Linked DNA regions of Notamacropus eugenii. The protein of the gene in region 2 interacts with the protein of the main gene of each other region in a pairwise test. Links are inferred from orthologs where the notes say so. Each region holds a gene or a part of one and is shown on either strand. Other genes may lie near its edges.

The links.
Region 1: the proteins of NFE2L2 (region 2) and MAFK interact in binary tests that used the Homo sapiens proteins (3 or more experiments, as listed by UniProt). The link is inferred for Notamacropus eugenii from reciprocal best matches to the Homo sapiens genes NFE2L2 and MAFK.

The regions. Positions count from the first base shown.
Region 1 is NC_092874.1:388,037,747-388,048,247, forward strand, and holds the start of MAFK (transcription factor MafK), read right to left. Parts: upstream 3,888-10,501; 5' UTR 3,737-3,887; intron 1,557-3,736; exon of another isoform or gene 1,387-1,556; intron 1,298-1,386; exon of another isoform or gene 1,044-1,297; intron 1-1,043. UniProt on the Homo sapiens protein: Since they lack a putative transactivation domain, the small Mafs behave as transcriptional repressors when they dimerize among themselves.
Region 2 is NC_092876.1:240,168,387-240,178,841, forward strand, and holds the start of NFE2L2 (nuclear factor erythroid 2-related factor 2), read right to left. Parts: upstream 4,329-10,455; 5' UTR 4,084-4,328; coding exon 4,051-4,083; intron 3,901-4,050; exon of another isoform or gene 3,768-3,900; intron 3,345-3,767; exon of another isoform or gene 3,192-3,344; intron 1-3,191.

The DNA of each region.
Region 1 (10,501 bases), on a different chromosome or scaffold from region 2:
ACAGTTATGCCTGAGTTTGTGTACAAATGTAGCAACCACCAGAGAAGTTATGGTTAAGGTGAGAATTAGAGTAGACAAAATTTTACGGTTTGAAAAAGGCTCGTGTCAAAGTTCCAAATAGTGTCAGAGAGAGAAATTGGATTCAGCCAATTCTGACACATAGTAAATGTTGCCTTCCCCAAATAATCTCTGCTCAACTCCCATTTTTAGCAACCACCTTGAAAGTCAAGCAATGCTACACTTGGAATGATTCCCTTAAAGCCTGTGCTGTGTTTAAGTATGGAAGGCAAACTTCATTCTGGGGAAAATTTCTGGTTTTAGTTTATAAAACTCCCTCCAAAAGGTTAATGAAAAATTATTATTTCATCTTACAAAGGAAAGGGTAAGGGAACATGGCAGATGGACAAGAAGGTATAGATCTTGTAATACAGTAGCTAAGGTTCTTCCTTCTGGGGCAATGTGTCGCAGGTGGCACTGAAGCTGTATGCATGCACAGCACGAGTTTACACTGCTGCACAAAATGCCATCTCCCTCAGCCCCCACCCAACAGGCCAAGCTCAGCTTTCAAAATTGTTTTGTGTTTTATTTTTTATACTCATCCAATCTTCTCTCTCACCAGGTCTATCCAAAAAAAAAAAAATCACTAGGTTTGAAATAAGCTGAACATGGTGTGACATTAAGCAACATCTGCACGTATCAGGATGTCCTTTAAAGATGATCCCAATAAAGCAGAGGCCTCCACAAAGCCAACAAATAGGACATGAAGACAATTAGACTGCGCCAGACAAACAAAGGTGGAGGGAAGGACAGTGTGTAAGACAAACTACACGTCACTCATAAAAATCCACTGCTTACAGGAGGAACTAACTTACCAACCTATTGAGTAACTCGGTACATATCTTAGTTTCTGTCTTGGCTACCAAAATCAGTATGAAAAAGCAAACCAATAAACCAACATCATAAAATTAAAAATACAAGGAATACGCAATACATGTCCTTCCAAAATCAAAAACTCCCTGGAGTCTGGGCAAATATAAAGTTAGCTTATTTGCTTAAAGTAAGTACTGTATGCAGTATCAGAGGAGTAGCAGCATGACTGGGTTTGCTCTTTTAGACCTACTGCCATTCAAGAAGAAACTCTACTAAGAGGAATATGAGTCTTCATTTCAAAGACTTGGCAGATAGGAAAGAGAAGGTCACATTTGCTCTTCTATGAACTTCCAATGTACTCACTCTAGAAATACTAATTGGAGACACCAAAGGCTGGAAGCTCAAAGCACACAAATCAAGCCACTACGTAAGTACTGAGACGATTTATGAATAAACAACAATGTAAGCGATATTTCCCAAATTCCTTCATTCTCCATCACAGCATGACTTTTGGTAAGAGCAGGGTTAAATCCCCTTTCCCTCTGGCTGATGTTGTATAACGCTATTGGATAGGAGCAATGCCAGTCATCTGTAGGAAGTGACTGTGGTAGGAAGGCTTTTCTGCATTACCAAGGGAAGAGAGACTGTACAAGTTGAACCGGCTCCCTCAGTGCGGAAGCAGCAAGGTAAATACATTAACTACTAAGCCAGGCTGGAGGCTGCTGGTGCTCTGGGGGCGTGGGGTACACAGCCTCTCACATGTGACCTCAAAGGGCTTCTCGGTGAAATAGAAGGGGAGGCAACTATCCTAAAATGTTCACTTAGCCCCCTCGGGGCAAATCTGGCCTCCGGGCTACCCTGGGATGGGAGGGCTGGTCTGAACGACTGAAAGGTAAAGGACGTTATTTCCGGTTTTGACCAGGCTGGCCTGGCTCCAGGGCTCAGGGGCTCTGGCCTACAACAGGAACCCCTTTTCCCTTATGAGACTATGTTGGTTGATATTCCAGTATCGCACCTAAGAGAGGAGCTTTAGGGCTTTGTTTCTTAGCATCGGCTTAAATGAACATATTTAATTTTGGAGATGTCATCTGACATGTCTCTAATCTCTCATTTGGTTTTAAAGAATTCACTTTTTTGAGAAAAAAGACAGGAGTTGGAAATCTCTTTCTCACCTCTGCCACTGATCTCTTGGGGGTAGAAGGCAGTCACTTTTTATGCCTCAGTGCCCCTGTCTGTAAAATGGGGAATTTTAAAAAAATCTTTATTATGCTTTTAACTCTTTAGCTTATAAAATGCCTGAGTACAAATGGGTATTAATGTGAATACTGTTATTTCAATCCACCCTTTCCTATCACAGCAAATATCCCAGACTAAAATTCCAAGAGTAAACATTAACCAAAATCGGTTTCAATAGATCGTCACCACAAGTGAGTGATATCACCTAGGGTTAGGCTCTCCAGTCATTTTCATACTGGATCACTCAGGTTTCATGATCCTGTTTAGAAAGGTCAACAACTTCTTTCTTTAGTAGTCTAAAATGATTAATATAAAAAAAAACAAACCACCAAATACTACCTAGGTTTCTAAGCACTCTTTAAAAAAAAAACGTTCTTCCTTCCTAGACTTTCTAAGCTGGAAAATAAAAACTGAATGAAACATGCCAGAATCTAGGGAGCTTTTCCTATCTTATGTCTGGATATCTCTAAATACAAGGGAGCGGCCTTTGAAGTTTCATTTGTCACAGTGTAACAATTTAATATCCTAAGCAGATCAGGACTACGTAGGACGGTCTGTCAGGGAGATCATACACCAGTGGCCTACGACTCTTGGTACCGTGTTTGGGTCATCTGCCTACAGTAAGGCAGTTATCGGGCTGAGCCTCCTCAGCGGCCGTCTGACATTCCCTAGGTGCTTTTACGTCCCTGGCCCCTGAGATGTAACAAGGGGAGGTGTTTCCTACTCCCGCTAAGAAGAGTCATCAGATTCCTAAACGTACAAGTTTGTGTGTCAAACTGAGCCCCCCAAAACCCCAAAGGTCAGAGTAATAAGTTACAACCCTGGACCATCAGATCATTTGCATATATGGAAATACAGCAGAACGGGTAATTGGAGGAAGATTGGAGGAAGGGTCCCGGGGGCCAGACGCCCAACAGAAGCAGCCCAGCCCCGGCCACGACTCTGGTTCGATGGTCACCCCGCGGTGCCCCTCCGGCCGGCCGGTTCCCATGCATGCTTACTCCCCACCCCGGGGATGCTCCCTGCCGCCTCCCCCTTCACCCCTGCCTTTCCTGCTCCTCTCGGATGGGGTGCGCCCGCAGTTTGTCCGGTCCCCTTCCTAGCCCCCCTCTGCCTGCCTTTTTTCTTGGGGCGCTTTCCCCGAACCTGGGGGGCTCCTCTGGCCCAGGGTCTGGGGGCGCCACGTGCTGGTCCCGGGTCTTCCCGCGGGGCAGTCAGCACGTGTCTCCCCCTCCGCCCCCTGGTCCGGGCACGTGTCTCCCCCAGAAGGATGACTCAGCGATTTGGGGGGTAACAGGGAGGGGGGGAAAGGAATCGGTCCAGGGAAGGGAGGGAGGGGCGGGCAGGGAGGATCTCCGGGCTCGCGGGGCGCCGGGACGGGACGGGGCAGCACGTGCGGCCAGCGCGGGCTAAGAGGAAAGGGGTCAGGGGTCGGGGGCCGACGACGCCCCCACCCCCCCGGCGCCGGAGAGTGGGGAGGGGGCACCACGCCCCCGCTGCGGCCGCCGCCAGCCTCGGATCGGGGCGGGTCCCGTCCTCCAGCGCCCCGCCCCCCCTCTGCCCAGCCGTCCGGCGGTGGGTCCGTTACCCCCGGCTCTGCCGACCCAACCGCCCGCAGCCGCCTTCTTACCTGGGGCGCGGGCACGCGGCGGGGCCTGGCGGGGGGCGGCGGCGGCGACGGCGGGGACGCGCGGCGGCGGCTCCGGCTCCGGCGGCTCCTCGCGGGGACGCGCTTTCCCACTTCGCCTCCTCCTCCTCCTCCGACTTCGGGAATAACAACAACCCCCCCAGTCCTCGGCATCTGACACTCCGCTTCCGGGATCGCGCGTCAGCGCGCGTCAGCTGGCCACGCCCCCTCGCCTCCTCCCCCCCGCCCCCCCGTCACCTCAGTCCGTTGGCCCGGGCGGCGGACCGAGGGAGGGGGGAAGGGGGGGAGGGAGCGGGAGGGAGAGGGGAGGGAGGGCCCCGCCCGCCGCGCGGCCGCCTAGCGCCTCCCGCCCCATTCATTCACACCCCGCCCCCCCCAGGCCCGCCCGGGCCGGCCGCCGGCTTGGGGGGAAGAGGGGAGAGACAAGTGTAAACCCCTAGAGGGGGGGACCGCGCGAGGTCACTGCCTCCCCCCAGCCCCCCGTCATCGAGACGGGCACGTGATCATTACAACAATAAAAAAGTTATAACCACAGAAACTTAGCATCCCTGGAGAGGTTCGTGGGCGCAAAGTTGCTTTCCTCCCCGCCAGGGCCCGTTGTACAGATGAGGAGACTGAGCCCTGGGAGATGGGCGGGGAGGGGGCGGGGCTTGCGCCAGTGATCGGCCTCCCAGGGGGTGAGCAGTGGGCGTGGCCGCCGCTTCTGCGAGCCCTCGGACCCCCTGGGGCGTAGCACCTTCTGTGCCGCCGCGCCGGGTCGGAGAAGGGTTCAGGGTCACCCCGCCAGGGCGGCCGGAGGGCTCCGGCTGCCCGGCACTCAGCCTTGGGCTACCCCGCGGTCCGGAGGCCTCTCGCCGGAGACCCGAGTCCTTGCTTTTTACTGCTGGTTGGTTTTAACAGGGCTAACGTGGAATGGACATGGTGCTGTTTGCCTTCCCGAGGAGCCGGGCAGGGAGGGAGCTGAAATGCTATAAATACATAAAAACCTGAAAAGAACAAAGATCATTAGGACCACAGGTTTACGTGCCAAAGGGACTTTAAAGATCTTTTACAAATGAGAAAATGAAGAAAGCCCCATGAAGTTGAGTGACGTGCCCATAGACCCTTACCCACATAAGGGTCTGAGGCAGAATCTGGGGCCAGGTCCTCTGGCTTCCAGGGGAGACGGAGGGCAGGAGTCTGGACCTTAGAGGGTCAAGTAACAGCGGGGAGAAACACCGTATTGGGAGTCAGAGGATATGGGTCTGAACACTTTCTGCATGTTTGATCTTGGGTGACTGTTAAGTTCTTTGTGCCTCAGTTGCCTCATCTGTAAAATGGAAAGGTTGGACTCTATCCTCTTATATTTCTGTTCTAAATTATTAAGTGCCTATGAAGCAGAGGGGAGAAAAGGCATGGTATTATAAAGTTTATAACATATAATAAATGAAACATAACCTAAGTTTAAGGCGGCACAGTGGATAGAGGTCTGGAGTCAGGGAGACTCCTCTTCTTTAGTTCAAATCCGTTCTGAGACTAGCTGTGTGACCCTGGGCAAGTCACTTAATCCTTTTTACTTCAGTTTCCTCATCTGTAAAATGAGTGAGAGAAGGAAATGGCAAACCCTTTCAGCATCTTTGCAAAGAAACCCCAACAAAACCCAACATCCAAAGCCCAAAATGGGGTAACAAAGAGGTGAACCCAAACTACAAGCCCTGATGTTTGTGAAGTTTATAGTCTAGTAGCAGAGAGTGTAGTCGGTGCCCAGGTAACTGTACCATGCCATCAGTCAGTCTATTTATTAGTCACTTACTCTGTGCCCAGTACAGTGTTAAGTGCCAGGGATACAAAAAGAGACAAGACAGTTCTTGCCCTCAAGAAGTTTAAAATGTTTAAATTCAAGTGTGAAAGGTCACTAAGGACTGGGGTGATTAGAAAATCCTTCGTGCCTACCAAGACACACAGAGAATTTGAGACTTCTAACTATAAACAATCTTCACTGAAATAAAGGGTGACCTATATAATTGAAGAAAGTCAATGTTTATGACCTGGCCATACTATTCAGGTTAATCTAAGGGTTGCCTGCTATGTTAATCACCTTAACCATATTTTACATAATTATAACTTTGAATACATGAGGTCACTTGTGCAGAATCATTATTGACACTGACTGAGTCCCAACTGTACCAAATGGATCAATAGCTTCCTTCAAAGCTCAGCCAGATGCAGCCTCCTACACGAGGTCTTTCCTAACACCGCCTCCCCCCCCACAACTGCTAATGTAATTAATCGCCGTGGTTATACTTTGTATACTTTTTGTTTTTATATGTGACCATGCATTCATGTACATGTTTTCTCTACTGGAATGTAAGGTCACCCCAGGCAGGGACCCTTTCTGACACAGTTCTTGGCACATGATACAAATGCCTGTTGAATGGTCAACTATTTTATGTAATGGAACAAAATAATATACATGGAGGAACAAAAAAATGGTACCTAAATATTGAGGGAAATAACAAGGGAAAGTAGGCAAGAAGGTTTAACATGATCAGATCTCAAATTATTTTATAAAGCAATAATTATTTTTTAGAATGAGATAAGTTAGAATAAAAAGGCTAAAAATAAAAGTTGGTCAGTGAAATAGATGAGGCAAGCAAAACATAGAAGGAAATCCATATTAGCTGTCTAGTTTAAAAGTTTCATAAGGAGGTAGTATTTCATTTGGGCTATAAAGAATGGGTAAGAATTTAACAGAGGAGAACTGAGCGACATCTTAGACACAAAGGAATAGTATAAGCCAAGCACGACTAGGAGGCTAGAACATAGGGTCTATAGCAGGAACTACAGTCCAGTTTAGTTGGAATATAAAATACTTGGAGAGAAGTACAGAGGAGCATGAGATAAAAAGGGTGAAAAGATCTGGACAGCAGCAGACCGCAAAGGACCTCAGAGAATAAATACTAAGCTAAGAAATTTGAACTTGACTCACTGGACCATTGGGAAACACTGAAGGGTTTTGGGCAAAGGAATGTCATTACCAGTTCTCACATAAGGAAGATGAGGTCCTGGGTAATGGAAAGTCAAGAAGAAAGCTAGGAAAGAAAACAGCTAATTTAGTTTTTAGTTGTGAAGTTTTTGTTTATTTAAGAATAATGAATACCATTAGGGCAGAATGTTGTATATGTTGTAAGAAGTGGGTTATGTTTTTGCTTAACTTTGTTAGAAGGGAGGCTTGATTTGTGTAGGGGGAGGGGATTATTTCCAGAAATGACTGTGACATAAAAACAAAGGACATTAATTAAACTAGTTTTTTTTAAAAATGAATGATGAGTCCCAAGAAGAAAAGTGGAAAAAGAAGAGGAGGGGGAAAATGAAAAGGAGCAAATGGAGAAGTTAAGAAGGAGGGAAAGTAAGTGAGGAGAAATAAATGTAGAGGGAAGGATGACTGTTACGTCTTAGCAGAAATTAACTAAACATGAGATTCTTCTTCTTGTCAAGACAAACTCCTTTATATGCACAAGGGCTCCTTTTCCATTCAGTCATTTCCAGCAGACTGCCTCCTCCACCATCCCCACTCACTAATTTTCAATCCCTTCCTATCTACAGACTGCTTCTCTACTGCCTTCAAACATGCCGATGTCTCCTTCATCCTCAAAAAAAACACCTCTCTTGATCCATCCATCCCTCCTGGATATTATCCCATATCTCTCTTCTCTTTTATGTTGAAACTCTTCTAGAGGACCATCTACAGTACGAGTTTCCATTTCATTTTCTCTGACTTTCTTCTTAACTCTACAGTATGGCTTTATTAAGACTAGTACCTCTGGTGTGAGGGCTGGTGAGTCCTTTTTAGGACTGCTTTCCAACATTTAGTATCCACCAGTTCCACCTAACTCTCCCTGTGACTCCAAGAAGCTGGAGCATCCCAGTAAACCATTTTGGCAGACAGACTAAACCAGGTTGAGGGTGACTGAGGGGTCTCAAACCCATTGGTGAGTTAGGGGTGTGTCTATCCCAAGCATATGAAGACTTGCCCTGGTGGAATGGACAGATGAGAACAGTTTGTCCCAATGGCAATGAAGGCATCTGAAGCAGGTGCTGTGGAACGTTTAGAGTTTGGTTAGACATCAGAGACCAGGGTCATCCTCTGCATCTTGAGCCACCACCAGTTGTCTTCACACTCTCCTGCCACTGGACTGTGATAACTGTGGAAGAGAGAGTGAGGTAAACGACTTAGTGAAATTCTGCCTCACTTGAATCCAATTTATGCACGAATCAAAAAACAACACCCATTCCATTTTACCTATCTCAAAGTTCTGTGGTGACAGGGAAGTGATGAAGCAGCAGGTGCGGATACCTTGGGAGCTGTACTCATAGTCCTCTACCCAGACAGCCCAGGCCACAGGGTTGTCTTCTCATTGGAAGCAGCAATGAGATTCAGCAGCCCTGAGTATCTGAGCAGCCTTTTAAGGATCTCCCTGCTCATCTCTTGGTGTGAGGAAGAGGCTAGAAAAGGTGCCCTAGAAATTGTCTGCTTACTCTACCTTAGCCTGATTGCTGAGGCAGGCAGAGAGCCCACCCTGCAGTCAACCACACCCCAAATGTCAAATTTAGCAACTCCACCCCAAATGTTCACATGGACTATTTTTGCCTGACCTATGGTAGAGCATTCTGAGTTTGTATTGGTCTGAACAGCTACAGCGGGACACATTGTAACTTGACTCTAACCATAGTGATGTCATTTTGGTCCTCTGAGAATGAAGGACAACACCCATTCAGTTGAAAAGTACTCCCTCCAAACTTACCAAATATCTTCTAATTGACAAATCTGATGGCCTTTTCTCAGTTCTTATCCTTCTTGACCTCTCTTTAGCCTTTGACAATATCAGTCACCCTTTTCTACTTGATACCATCTTCTCTCTAGGTTTTTATGACACTACTTTTTCCTGGTTCTCTTATTTATTTAACTACTCCTCAGTCACCTTTGCTAGATTTGCGTCTACGTCATACCATTTATCGTTGGGTGCCCCACAGGGCAACATCCTAGGCCTCTTCTCTTCTCCCCATATACTATTTCATTTGGTGATCTCATCAGCTTCCATAGATTCAGTTATTATCTCCATGATGATAATTCGCAGATCTACTTATCTAATCTAAAACTCTCTACTTGCCTCCAGTCCCACATATCTAACTGCCTAATAATGAATGTCTCTACACCATGTTCTACAGACACCTTAAACTCACCATGTCCAAAACTGAATTCGTTATTTTTCCCCTGCAAAACCCTTCCCTTTTCTTAACTTCCCTTACTGTTGAGGGTAGCACCATCCTCCCAGTCACCCAGGCTTGCAACTTAAATATCATTCTCATCTCCTCATTCTCTCACATCCCCCTCCTCCCAATCCAATTGGTTGTCAAGGCTTATTTTTTTTTTTGCCTTTGTAAAGTCTCCTCTGACAGTACTTCCATCCTGTTTAAGGTCCTGCCCACCTCATACATGGATTTTTATAGAGTCTGATGGTTTGTCTGCCTGCCACAAGTCTCCCCCTACTCCAGTTCATCTTCTACTCAGCCTTCAGTGACCTTGCTAAAGCACAGTTCCAACCCCTACTTACCTCCAGGATCACACATAAAATTACCTGTTTGTTGTTCAAATCCCTTCATAATCTGTCCATATTTACCTTTTGAATCTTCTTACACCTTGCACCCTCCATCCCCCATGTACTCTGAGATCCAAAGGACACCGACTTCTGTGTTCTTCCTCAAACAAGACACTCCATTTCCCACCTCCAGACATTTTCACTGACTGTCTTCTGCGCCCCACCCCTCATCCCCCAAGCCTGGAAGTCTCTCCTTCCTTCTCACTACCTTCTGGCTTCTCTGACTTCCCTCAAATCCCAGCTAAAATCCCACATTCTACAGGAAGCCTTTCCTGATCCCCTTTTATTCTAGTGCCTTCTGTCTGGACATTGTCTCTAATGTGTCCTATCTAGAATCTTTGTCAATAGTTGTTTATTGCATGTTGTCTCCCCATTAAACTGTGAACTCCCTGAGAGCAGAGGCTGTCTTTTACTGTTTCTTTGTATTCCCAGAGTTTAGCACAGTGTCTGGCACATAGGAGGCGCTTAATAAATATTTACTGACTGACTGACTATTCATGCATTTATGGAATAGTAGACTCATAAATCTCTGAAGGAGATTCCTACTTGGATGGCCTTATCATGGCATGAAGCTAAACCTGGGTCCTCCAGCGGTTCAGATGATGGTGGTGGTGATAACAATGATGATGCTCCATGTAATTTCTTACACTGTTCCTTTTGGCTAGTGGCAGACAATGTTTTCATCTTTTTAACAGATGGAGATTTAGATATAAAGAAAGCTCTTCCTACCTCCACAATGTCCCTCTCTCCTCCTACACCCCATGCCCACCTTCCACACTGTTGGAAGGCTAATTTCCCTTATGCATAAATGTGATCATTTGCTTATTTTATTCAGATATCTTTAGTGGATTAATCCCTGTTGCCAACTAGATAAAGTTCAATTTCTTAGCCAGGTATTCAAGACTTTCCACAATGGGCTACTGCCCTATCTTTCCAGCCTTGTGTCATACTACTGATCACCATGCTCCAACTATATTGGTCTGTTCATACTTGGCAGGCTCTGGGTCTTTGCCCATGCTATTCCTGGTACCTGAGATATTTTCCCTACTTTTCTTTGCCTGTTAGATTTCTATTCGTCATTTAAAGCCCAGCCCAAGTGCAATATCTT
Region 2 (10,455 bases):
GATAACAGTACTTTCTGTTCTCAGACTTAATTCTAGTATTTAAAGTGTTGTGTCAGTGACTCAAACAGAAAAACCCTCTAACTCGGGAGTGAGGATGGATTAATTCATTAAGTGTTGTAATAAGCTTTTTGTTTCCTTGCTCATAATCTTAAAACAATCATATATATCTTAAAATACAATTGGTATATTTCTGAGAAATTTTAACATCTTCCCAGCTTTAAATAAAAATTGTAAAACACTATCGTCATTTCAATTACTCAATACCTGATAAAATCCATAAAACTTCCTCATCTATTAGATGTTTTAAGTATTTCTATAACCTGCTGTGCCAAACACAAATTTCTGAAATCTGCTCAACAGACACATCTACTGACTTCAGTTAGGTTGACTATACTCCAAAATCCAACAAATGCATCAACAACTTAGAATATTATAAGTTTTTAAGGAAAAAAAGTTATTTTATTTTGAACGTGGTATTCCTAAAGACAATATAAACTTACCCAGTTAATTAACCCGAAGACTTCTTAAGACTTTGTTTTCTTCATTTCAGAAGTACCAAATAGGTTATGTTTTATTTATCCCAATAAATTTCTCCTCTGACTGATACTTAACTCAAATTCAGACATAATCACATAGAAACAGGTATATTTCTTAGAAACTAAAAAAAAGTTAGCTTCTTTAGTTTTCCTCAGTTTACCCACTTTTTATTAAAATGCGACATTTTCCTCTCACATTATCCACAAGTGTGGATAATGGCAATGTTAAGAGAGTCTAGAATGAAGAAAAAAAGAGGGAAAAAACCTCTGAGATTTTCCCCAACATTCCTGGGGTTACTTTCCGGCTGTCCATAAATTATCTTGAATGAAAATAGATTAATATTAATGAAAACATATAGTCTCTCTTTAACTTTTTGTTATTCACAAAGAATGAAACCTTGTCCTTATTGTCTAGGAAAATTTAAGTGCACCAGGCATGACTTTTTTTGTTGTGACTGAGAGGAGTTGAATGAGTCCTCCTACAAAGTGTTTTCAAAATATCTCAAGATGTTTCATAAAACAAAAATGTCAAGTTGCTCTCTATATCAAGAGAGACTACTGACTTTTCCTTCTCACTTTTCTTTTTGAACTTGACACTTATCACTGCAGTGAAAAAAGTAACTGCGTCTTTCATCTGCAGCACAATGTACAAGAGAATAAATGTAAAGTTTTTATGATGGGTGTGGGGAATTCAAGTTATATACTTAACGATCTCTTCCTAGATATCTTCTTCTATGTAAAGAGGGTGACAGCATATTTTCTGGTACAATAGGGTAAGTGGAATAGGGAAAGGAATAAGCATTTTTATTGTGCTTTTTTATACACACGTATGTACCAGACTGTAAGTGCTGAACACTTTTTACAAATATTATCTCACTTGATCTTAATAAATTACACATTTAAAATAAAGAGTCTCCACAAGGTCAAGAACCTTATTCCTTTGGTGATACCTAGCAAGTATATTACAAAAACTTCAATATCTTTATTCAATTTTTTTTTTTGCTATCAGCTCTGAAGCCTCATTTTATTTTTCTACTGACTTCAAACTGATGTTTCAGTGATAAAATTTTGCCATTTTGTTGTAAGTCCATTCTCCATGTTTCCTTTTGTTTCCTCAAGCACGAAATTTTAGGGCACATTTGAACGCTATCCTCCAAAACATTTTCCATTTCCAAAAATGAATCAATAGTATTTTGTATATGTTCAAGGAAGCATCTACACAGCCTCAGTTCTGGTCATAACTGAATCCAACAAAACAGCTATCTTTATAATAGTAAGCTATTAGGGCACAAAACCAAAATCATTCTTCGGGAGCAGTCCAAGACTATACAACTGCATAGGGACCTATAATGTCCTGAATGTATATCCAAAGAGAAGGTGAAAAGGGAACTCTTTAGTCGTGCCAAGATTAGATAACTGCTTTCAAAGAGGAAAGCATTCAATACCTTGAGAGGGTCAAGTTCAAATTAAAAATGTCCTTGAAACAATAATCTTTCTTAAAACTTCAAACAAAAGCCGAGAAATCCTAAGTAATCTTTTCACTTGTCTGTCACACTTTTAAAATATGCTATGATTTGAAATGATAAAGGACCTTACTTCCAAATTCTTCCAACTCGGACTACAGAACTTGCTAGCAAAAGGATCACCGTGCAACACAAGTATCCCGTCATCTATCCTTACAAAAAAGGCAGAACGAAAAGAAAGAAAAATTCTCTAACAGGAAGGGGACCGGGAGAAGGGCGGCGGGAAAAGAGACTCAAGGTAAAGCCAACTAGGCAGTAGTTTGGAGTCGAAGTTTTAATGTGTAAGCACAGACCTCATTTTACACAAAAATACAAACCCTGATCTGCCCTGGCAGCCCTACTCAGAACAACATTTAGCGTATTCTGCTTTACATATTTTAGAATTACAATCTGAGAAACTTCATCCAAAGACAAAGCAGCCCAGGGGAAAATAACAATTGCGCAACAGCTCCCCAGCTCCGACTCGCCCTGGCCTTGAGCTCCTCGAGCTCGGCCGGGCTGGCACGCTAGGCAGCACAAGGGGCCCCTCTAGGGCGGCCGCGACTGGCGGCAGCTGACCCCCGCCGAGGCCGCAGGGACGCGTTCGGAGGCCGCGGAGAAGCGCGCACTCGGGACTACCGCAGCGGGGAGGGGGTGCTGTATGTTGTACGGAACGTTTCCAAAACTCCCGAGTTCTGTAGGAGAGGAAAAGGGGGGGAGGCAAGACAAACTGAACTCCCAATTCCCCATTCTCTCCCGGACGACAAGCGGCCTTCATCAGATGCAGGGTCCAGGCCTGGCTATCTTCCGCCACGGTCCGCCCGGGGACCACCGTCAGGGGTAGATACACTATGAGCTTTTGGACGGCTTCATTCAGTCCGTCGGGGCCATCTAGGTCACTGCAGAAGCACAAAGCTAACTGGAGTCCTTTAAAGACTGGTTTTTCTCAGTACCCTAGAAATCCCTAGTGGAGGGTAAGCGTGATGAGGAACAAGCCTAGCCTTTCCCTTCCCCGGCTCGGAGATGCAGTAACTGGAGAGGTGGGGGCGGGGGAGGGCTAGAGATGATCGATCTCTATGGAAGCCCAGACTTCCAAGCCAGACGTGCGCCCCGCGCTCCTCGCTCACTCGAGGGTCCGGGGGCCAGTCCATACCTCATCCTCCCCCTGGCGACTAAGCACGCAGGCTTCAAGGCCAGAGAGAGCAGCTCAGGAATGGAAGTGCGAAGAGACGAAAGAAGCTAGAGCAGGCCCCGAGGGCGCTTAGGAAGCTTCTCCTCCCCTGACAACCAGACCCCGGGGAGGGGGGCAAGGACGGGGCGGCGCAGGGGCGGGGGCGGTGCAGGGGCGGGGCGGCGCAGGCTTCGCCCCACCCCCTCCCACAGTGCCCAAGGAAGAGACCAGAGACACCTCCTCAACTCACCCATCGCCGCGCAGCCGCAGTGCGGCGACCTGGGGAGGAGGGGCTCCCGGAAGACAGCGGGGGCGGGAACAGCTGTTGCACCCCCCACCCACGTCCCCCTCCCCTCCGGAGTTGGGAATCCCCACCCCCTCCGCACCTCCTCTTCCTCCTCCCTCAGGAAAGGAGACCCAGCGCACCGGGGCCGCCGACGCGCTCGTGACAGGCAGAGCCGGGGGGAAGCTGCCCCCCTCCCCTGCCCTGCATCCACGGCTTCCTGGGGACTTCCCCTCTGGATCCCCCTAGGGCGCCATCCTCAACTCCTCCCCCACCTCTATTCTCTCCCGAGGAGGGGGTCGGGTGTTATTTTTCCTTTAATCCTAGACTCCTCCGCGACCCCGGCCTTCCCCGCCGTCCCCTCTCGCCGGTGGACTGTACAGAGAAGACAGAGGGAAGGAGGTCGGCCCACGTCGCCCACGTCGCCCCCGTCCCTGTTACCGTAGGCGTGTCCCCCCCTTGCTCCCGGAGGCGTGACGTCCGCTCCCCCCCAGCCCCGCTCTCGTGTGCGTGACGTCTCCCCCCCTTCGCCAGTCCCGGAGGTGCCGGCAGTAGCACCTGTTGCGACGGGGGCAGCTCCAAGTCCATCATGTTGAGCTTCCGACCCCTGCGCTGGGGCTCCCCGGCCGGACTTCTTTCTCTCAGCTCCCGAGACAAGGTGCGGAGAAGGAAGGCGCAGCGGCAGGGACGGGGTGGCGCGGAAGCGGCTCCTTGAGTCTCCCTGGCACTTCACTGTATTCCACCCGAGGGCCGGGACTCCCCGGCACAGCCCCGGCAACGCCCCGCCTCCGACCACCCTGGGGGCGGAGAAATGCGTGGCCACGCCCACCGAGGCCGGCCGCTTCCTCCCGGCTCCTCCTCTTAAAATCCCCCACCCTTGCGGCTGCTGACTTCCTGCGGGTTTGGAATGGGGTGGGGGCTGGCGTGGGAGCACTGGGGGGGAGGGGAGGAAGGGAAGGAGGTATTGAGAATCTTTGTGTTTAACTCTCTCCATCCCCGTCGGGGGCGGAGGGCGGGGAGAGACCCCTCCCCAAAACACAGGCCTTACCGTAATAACCGTAGATTTTTGAGTTGGAAGGCAGCCTGGAGTTCATCTCGTCCAGACTCATCATTTTGGTCATGAGGAAACTGAGGCCCAGGGAAATTTAAGTGATTTGCTCAAGGTCACCCAGGGTAGTAAGAGGAAGGATTGGAACTTCCAAAACCAGGAGTTGGACCCGGGTGTCCCAACTCCAAGAGACGGTGGACTCCCCCTGTGCGTATGTTTTGTGCTTGTGCGCCTTTTAAGACAAAACCGTTTCTCCGGGCGTATAATTTAGAGCAGTGTAGTGTACGTGTGTCCTTTAAAACAAACCAAAGAAACCATTTTTCCCCTTACCTCCCAACGAGATTGCCACTCGGAAACATAGTGGATGCTGTCTCACCGACCTGGCAAAGAGTACGCGGTGGCCTAAGGGAGGCTGGCTCCGAGGTCCAGGTTGAAGGGCACAGCTCAGTTTTATCTCTACCTACCGCACCTACTTGAGGGTCAGGTGCCAGCCAAGGAGCACCAGGACAAAAGCTGCCTGCTAGTCAGCACCACCTTTCCCTCACTTTCCCACCCTCTGCTCCCAGGGAACTCTTGTTAATTCAGTGAAAGTGTAATCAGTAGGAAGTTCTGGAACCACTCTGGGACTTTGGAGTTAGGTCCCCTCTCCTGTGTTTGCCAAGGCCCAAATGCCCTCCTGTTTACTTTCGCTCTTTAGAAACATTGCCAGGGACAGCGCTCCAAGGTCGATTAGAAAAGTCCTCTTGAGATGGAAGCTGACTGTTCAGCTTGGGCTTTGCAAAAACTGAAACCATCTCCTTCTCTTTCCCCCCATGTCTCATCTTGCAGCACTGAGCTGTTGCATAATCCTTAAAAATAAAATTAACTTCGAAAGTGGCAAAAGCCTCAGAGGAGAAAAGGGAATGTGAAGCCCTGGAATATGTTATTCAAAAGTATTGGAGATTTTTAAAAGAGAATTTGTGCGTGCATCACTGTCAACAGGTGAGTCCCAGAGGCTTTAAGAACTAGATCTTTCCCATATGAGAAAGCTGAGACCCAGAGAATTTAAGTGACCTAGCATTGTCTCTGGATCTAAGAACCTTTCTATCTCTTTGATAGGTTCAGCTTTTGGTTTCTAGCTTTTATTTTAAAGATTGTTAGAAATTAGGTAACATACAGATGAAGAATCCCTAGCTTTATTTATGTATGACAAACGTTTAAGGTGTAAAAGATGGACGAGATATAGTAGTTCCCAACCTGTGGGATGCTATTATTTTAAAGGGTCTATCTCATTAAATGATTCCTCTATAATAAGCATAGTTTTTGTAGACTGAATAATGTCTCATTTAGATTCTTATTTTTCAGAAGTATTCAGATGAATAAAACACAAGTTCACTTAAAAGCATTACTGAACTCATAATAACTTTTTGTTATGTAATTTTTCAATCATTGGTTACTAAATAGTACAACAATAACCCATAGGTCCAGGAAACTTTTTTTTTTTAATATTGAAAAGGAGTTTATACACACTAAAAAGTGCTAGTAGCCAACGAACTAGATATAAGATTTTATGACCCTAAGAGTTTCTGTTCTAGGTACTGTGGTAGATAAAAATAAAATCCTATCATCTAGCAAGGGAGAGAAAAAAGTCTTCATGCAAGTATAAAACAGCCAGAGAAAGAGGTCAGGCTACAATGTTTTTCTGTAGGAAAAGACTAGAGTCAACGGTCTTTTAGATTTCACTAGCCAATTCAGCCATTTCTACTTTACATAAAACAGAAGAGCTGATTGGGTAAAATGATCTGATCCTCATCAAAGTGTTTCCCCCTGGGGAGATTTACCTTGGTCTTACAACCTTAGTACTGAAATGGGTTTCTGACCATGTTAGGTAACAATTGAATTTAGATTTCCAGGAAAGCCAGAAGAGAGTAGGTAAAGTGCAGAGAATAAAGGAATTGCTTAAAAGAGTTTGAAGGCAAGCTTCTGTCTGACCCCTTGTCCCTTCTGTGGCAGTCTGAGTAAAAAGAAGAAAGTATCCTAACTAATTGAGGATCCTAGCTGAAAACAAAAACAAACAAAAAAACTTCATAGCTATTGGCAAACAAGGTTAACTAAGAAGAATGAGCCCTTCTTGCTAAGGAGAATATTGCTAATCCCAACACCTTCAGTAAATGAAGAACCAAATTGAGTAGGTGGCTCTGAAGATAGCACTTAATCTGAAGATTATAGCTAGAAATGATAATAAATAAAATAGTACTTATATAGCACCTACTACTGCCAGGCATTGTACTAATCACTTTACAAAAATGGTCTCATTGATCTTCATGACAAAACCCTATTTTACAGTTGAGGAAACTGAGATTAAGTGACTTGCTCAAGTTCATATAACTAATGAGCACCAGAGATTGAATTTGAACTCAGGACTTTTTGACTCCAGGCTCAGCTGCCTCTAACTTATGCACAGGAGGAAGCTGAAAGAGTAGGAGGCTGATAGATCAGATTGAAGGAGCTAGGGAATATCTTTTTCAGGAGAGAGTATAATTCTAACTAATCATAGTACCCTTCCATGGCAGAGGTGACTAAAAGAGTTGGTGAAAGAACTGTAACAGTATCCGTAGAAGATGTTGTACAGAATAGATAGTACACAGCTAGATGGTACACAGTAGACAGAGTGCTAGACTTGGGGGTGGGACAACTTGAGTTCAAATCCAGCCTGAGATGCCTCTACCTCAGTTTCCTCATCTGTAAAATGGTGATAATAATAGAACCTAACTTCTAGGTTATTGTGAGGATCAAATAAAATAACATATTAAGTACCTTGTAAACCATAAAGCAACATGTATGTATGTATGTGTACACATACATATACACACACATATATATGTATATATATTATTATTATTATTAGGTGAATCTGAAAATAATCAGTTGACATTACCTAGATCAGAAAAACATGCCTTTTGAGGAAGTAAAGTAATATCAGTAGGAGATAGCAGCTCTTCATTGTGAGGTTCATGAGTTAACCCTTCATAATCAAATATAAAATGCTTTATCATTCCAAGCCTGTCATAACCTGCCCCTCCCACCTTTCTAATTTTTTTACACTTTATGATTCAATGACACTGGCCTCTTTGCTATTTCTTAAACATGATTCTCCATCTCCCAACTCAGAGCATTTTCCCCCATGTCTGGATTGCCTTCCTTCCTCATCTCTCCTCCTGGCTTCTCTGACTTCCTTTAAATCCCAGCTACCAAATGATCTTCCTAAAGGACAGGTCTGACCATGTTTCCCCCCATCTCCCCCCTTAATAAATTCCCTATTACCTCCAGGATCAGATATAAAAATCTCACTGTCATTTAACTAAATTTATTTATACTGTCATTAAAATACCTTTGTTATTAATTGTTAACGATGGCTGACTGATAAAAAGTAAAACATCACTGGGGGCTTACAAGTTACTACTTGGAAAGAATTTTTCGTAGGTGTGCTGGTAAATGTTTAACAAGCGACTCTGAAAAAATACACACAGAACACACTTTATGTTTAATCTATATTATTAATATTTTCTCCATCACTTTACGTCTCGAAAATCAATAAAACACAAGCTCTGATTTGCAGTGTTTGCCAATTTCCAGGGTGTAAATGTTCACACTGAAAATTTAACAGTTGGCTTTCGATGCTGATACCAGCTGGCTCTTGGTCAGCACTGATTTTGGTCCAATATGCAAGTGACTGTAATGCAAAGTAGAAAGTGATCATAAGAAAGGAATGACAGAGCTGATATTATGACGATGCAGAAGAGGGGAAGATGACTTCTCCTGGCAGGAAAGGGGAAGGCTTCATGGAAAGGATGTTATCTGACCCAGACCTTGGAAAACTGGAAAGATTTCAACAGAGTAGATCAAGGTGAGGCTATCTCAAACATTACAAAAAAAATAAAATTGGGCCAAACTCCCCCCCCCCCCCCCCCCCAGAAACAAGAAAGCATGGGGCATAGGATTTATAGATAGACCTTAGAAATGATAAACCCTTAATCTTTATAGATGAAGAAACCAAGGCTAGATATTAAATGACTTTTCTGGGGTCATGAAAGGCAAGGTTTAGAATCTAGGTTTTCTGATTCTTCCCCTACAGTGTAAGATATTTAAGGAGTTTTGAGTAATGCAGTTTGATAGCAGTATAGTGTCTGGGTAGGAGAGGAAGGATTGAAAATGGGAGGGGAGGGGTAGGTGATGAAATGACCTCTCTAAAGACCCTTCCAGTTCTGAACCTCTCATTCTAGGAAAGTTGAATTGGGGCCGGGTTTTGGAGAGCTTTGAATCTCAAACTAAAAACTAAAATTGTATTTGGCAGGTAATGGAGAATCATTTGTTTTGTTTTATTTCTTTTCTTTTGTGAATGTGATTAGGTTTCCCAATTTTCCTAAGGCTGGAAGTTCAGCAACCATGCACAGGCCCAGCACTGATGCTGATAGACACAAAAGCTTCGACCTGTTCTATTCCCAGCCTAGGCCACTTTGCCCCTCCTTACAAAACCTGGTGACCCCCCCCCCCCCATTCCCTGTGGTTTACACATTGGTACCACCTTTAGCCATACTATAACTTAGAAATCCCTGAACTCAAGTAATTTACCAACCTCAGCCTCCTTAGTAGCAGGGACTATGAGCATGCACCATCACCATATCTGGCAATATTATTAATTTTTTTAATTAAGGGAGGAGATGCAATTAACTCTCAGAATCAGGAAGATTAAACCGATAGCATCATGCATGATGAAATGGAGGGGTGAGAAAAGGAAGCACATTTTAGAAGATTTTATTACTGAGATGTGAGATAATGAGACTGTGAATGAAAATAGAAGGGAGAATGGAAAAGAGGGTATAAAGTCAGTATTACAATAGAATTTGGCAACTGATTAGATATGGGGAATGAGTGAGAAGTAAGAGATGGCTCAAATGTTTGAAACAACAACCTCAGCTCCTAAATAAACTGCAAAGTACTTTTTTTTCTGGATTATGAACTTTGACACTGCAACAAAGATATATCCTTCATATTTTTATGACATTTTATAATTTTCAGAGCCTATATACAGTATTACCACATACCACAATAATCCTATAAGATAGGTAGGGGGGGTCCATTTAGTCAGTTGGTCAGTCAATAAGCATTTCTTAAGAACTCACTATGGGCTAGGCCTAAAAGCTAGGGACACAAACAAAGGGAAAAGAACAACCCCAAAACAAACCTACCTCTGCCCTTAAAGACCTCAAATTCTAATGAAGAAGACAGTATGCAATTACAAAAATTCAATACAAGATACAGATGATAATCTCAGAGGGGAGAGTACTAGCAGCTAGGAGGAATTGGGAAAGGCCTCCTTCAGCAGGTGGGATTTGAGTTGAGTCTTAAAACCAAAGAAATTAAGAGATGAACGTGAGGAGGGGAACATCCCAGGCCTGGAGGACAGCCAATCCAGACAGGGAGATGAGAGATGGAGTGTTATGTGTCAACAGCAAGGCAGCCTGTATGGCTAGATTATAGAATGATTGGAGGGGAGAGAAGTTTAAGAAGACAGGAAAAGTAAAAAGGGGCCAGATTACAAAGAATTTCATATGCCAAAGAGAGGACTTTTTATAATAAGAAACCATAGGAATTTATTGAGCATAGGGGTGATATGGCTAGATATAAACTTTAGGAAAGTCATTTTTGCAGCTGAGTAAAGGATGAATTAGCATGGGGAGAGGTGATATGTGTGTGTGCATGCATGTATACACATACATATATAATACACATATGCATGTATAACATATACAGGCACATATATACACACATATACACACATGCATATGCACATACACATGCCTATATATGTGCATACACATACGCATATATACATACATGTATACACACTGCTCATATACACACATACACATGCA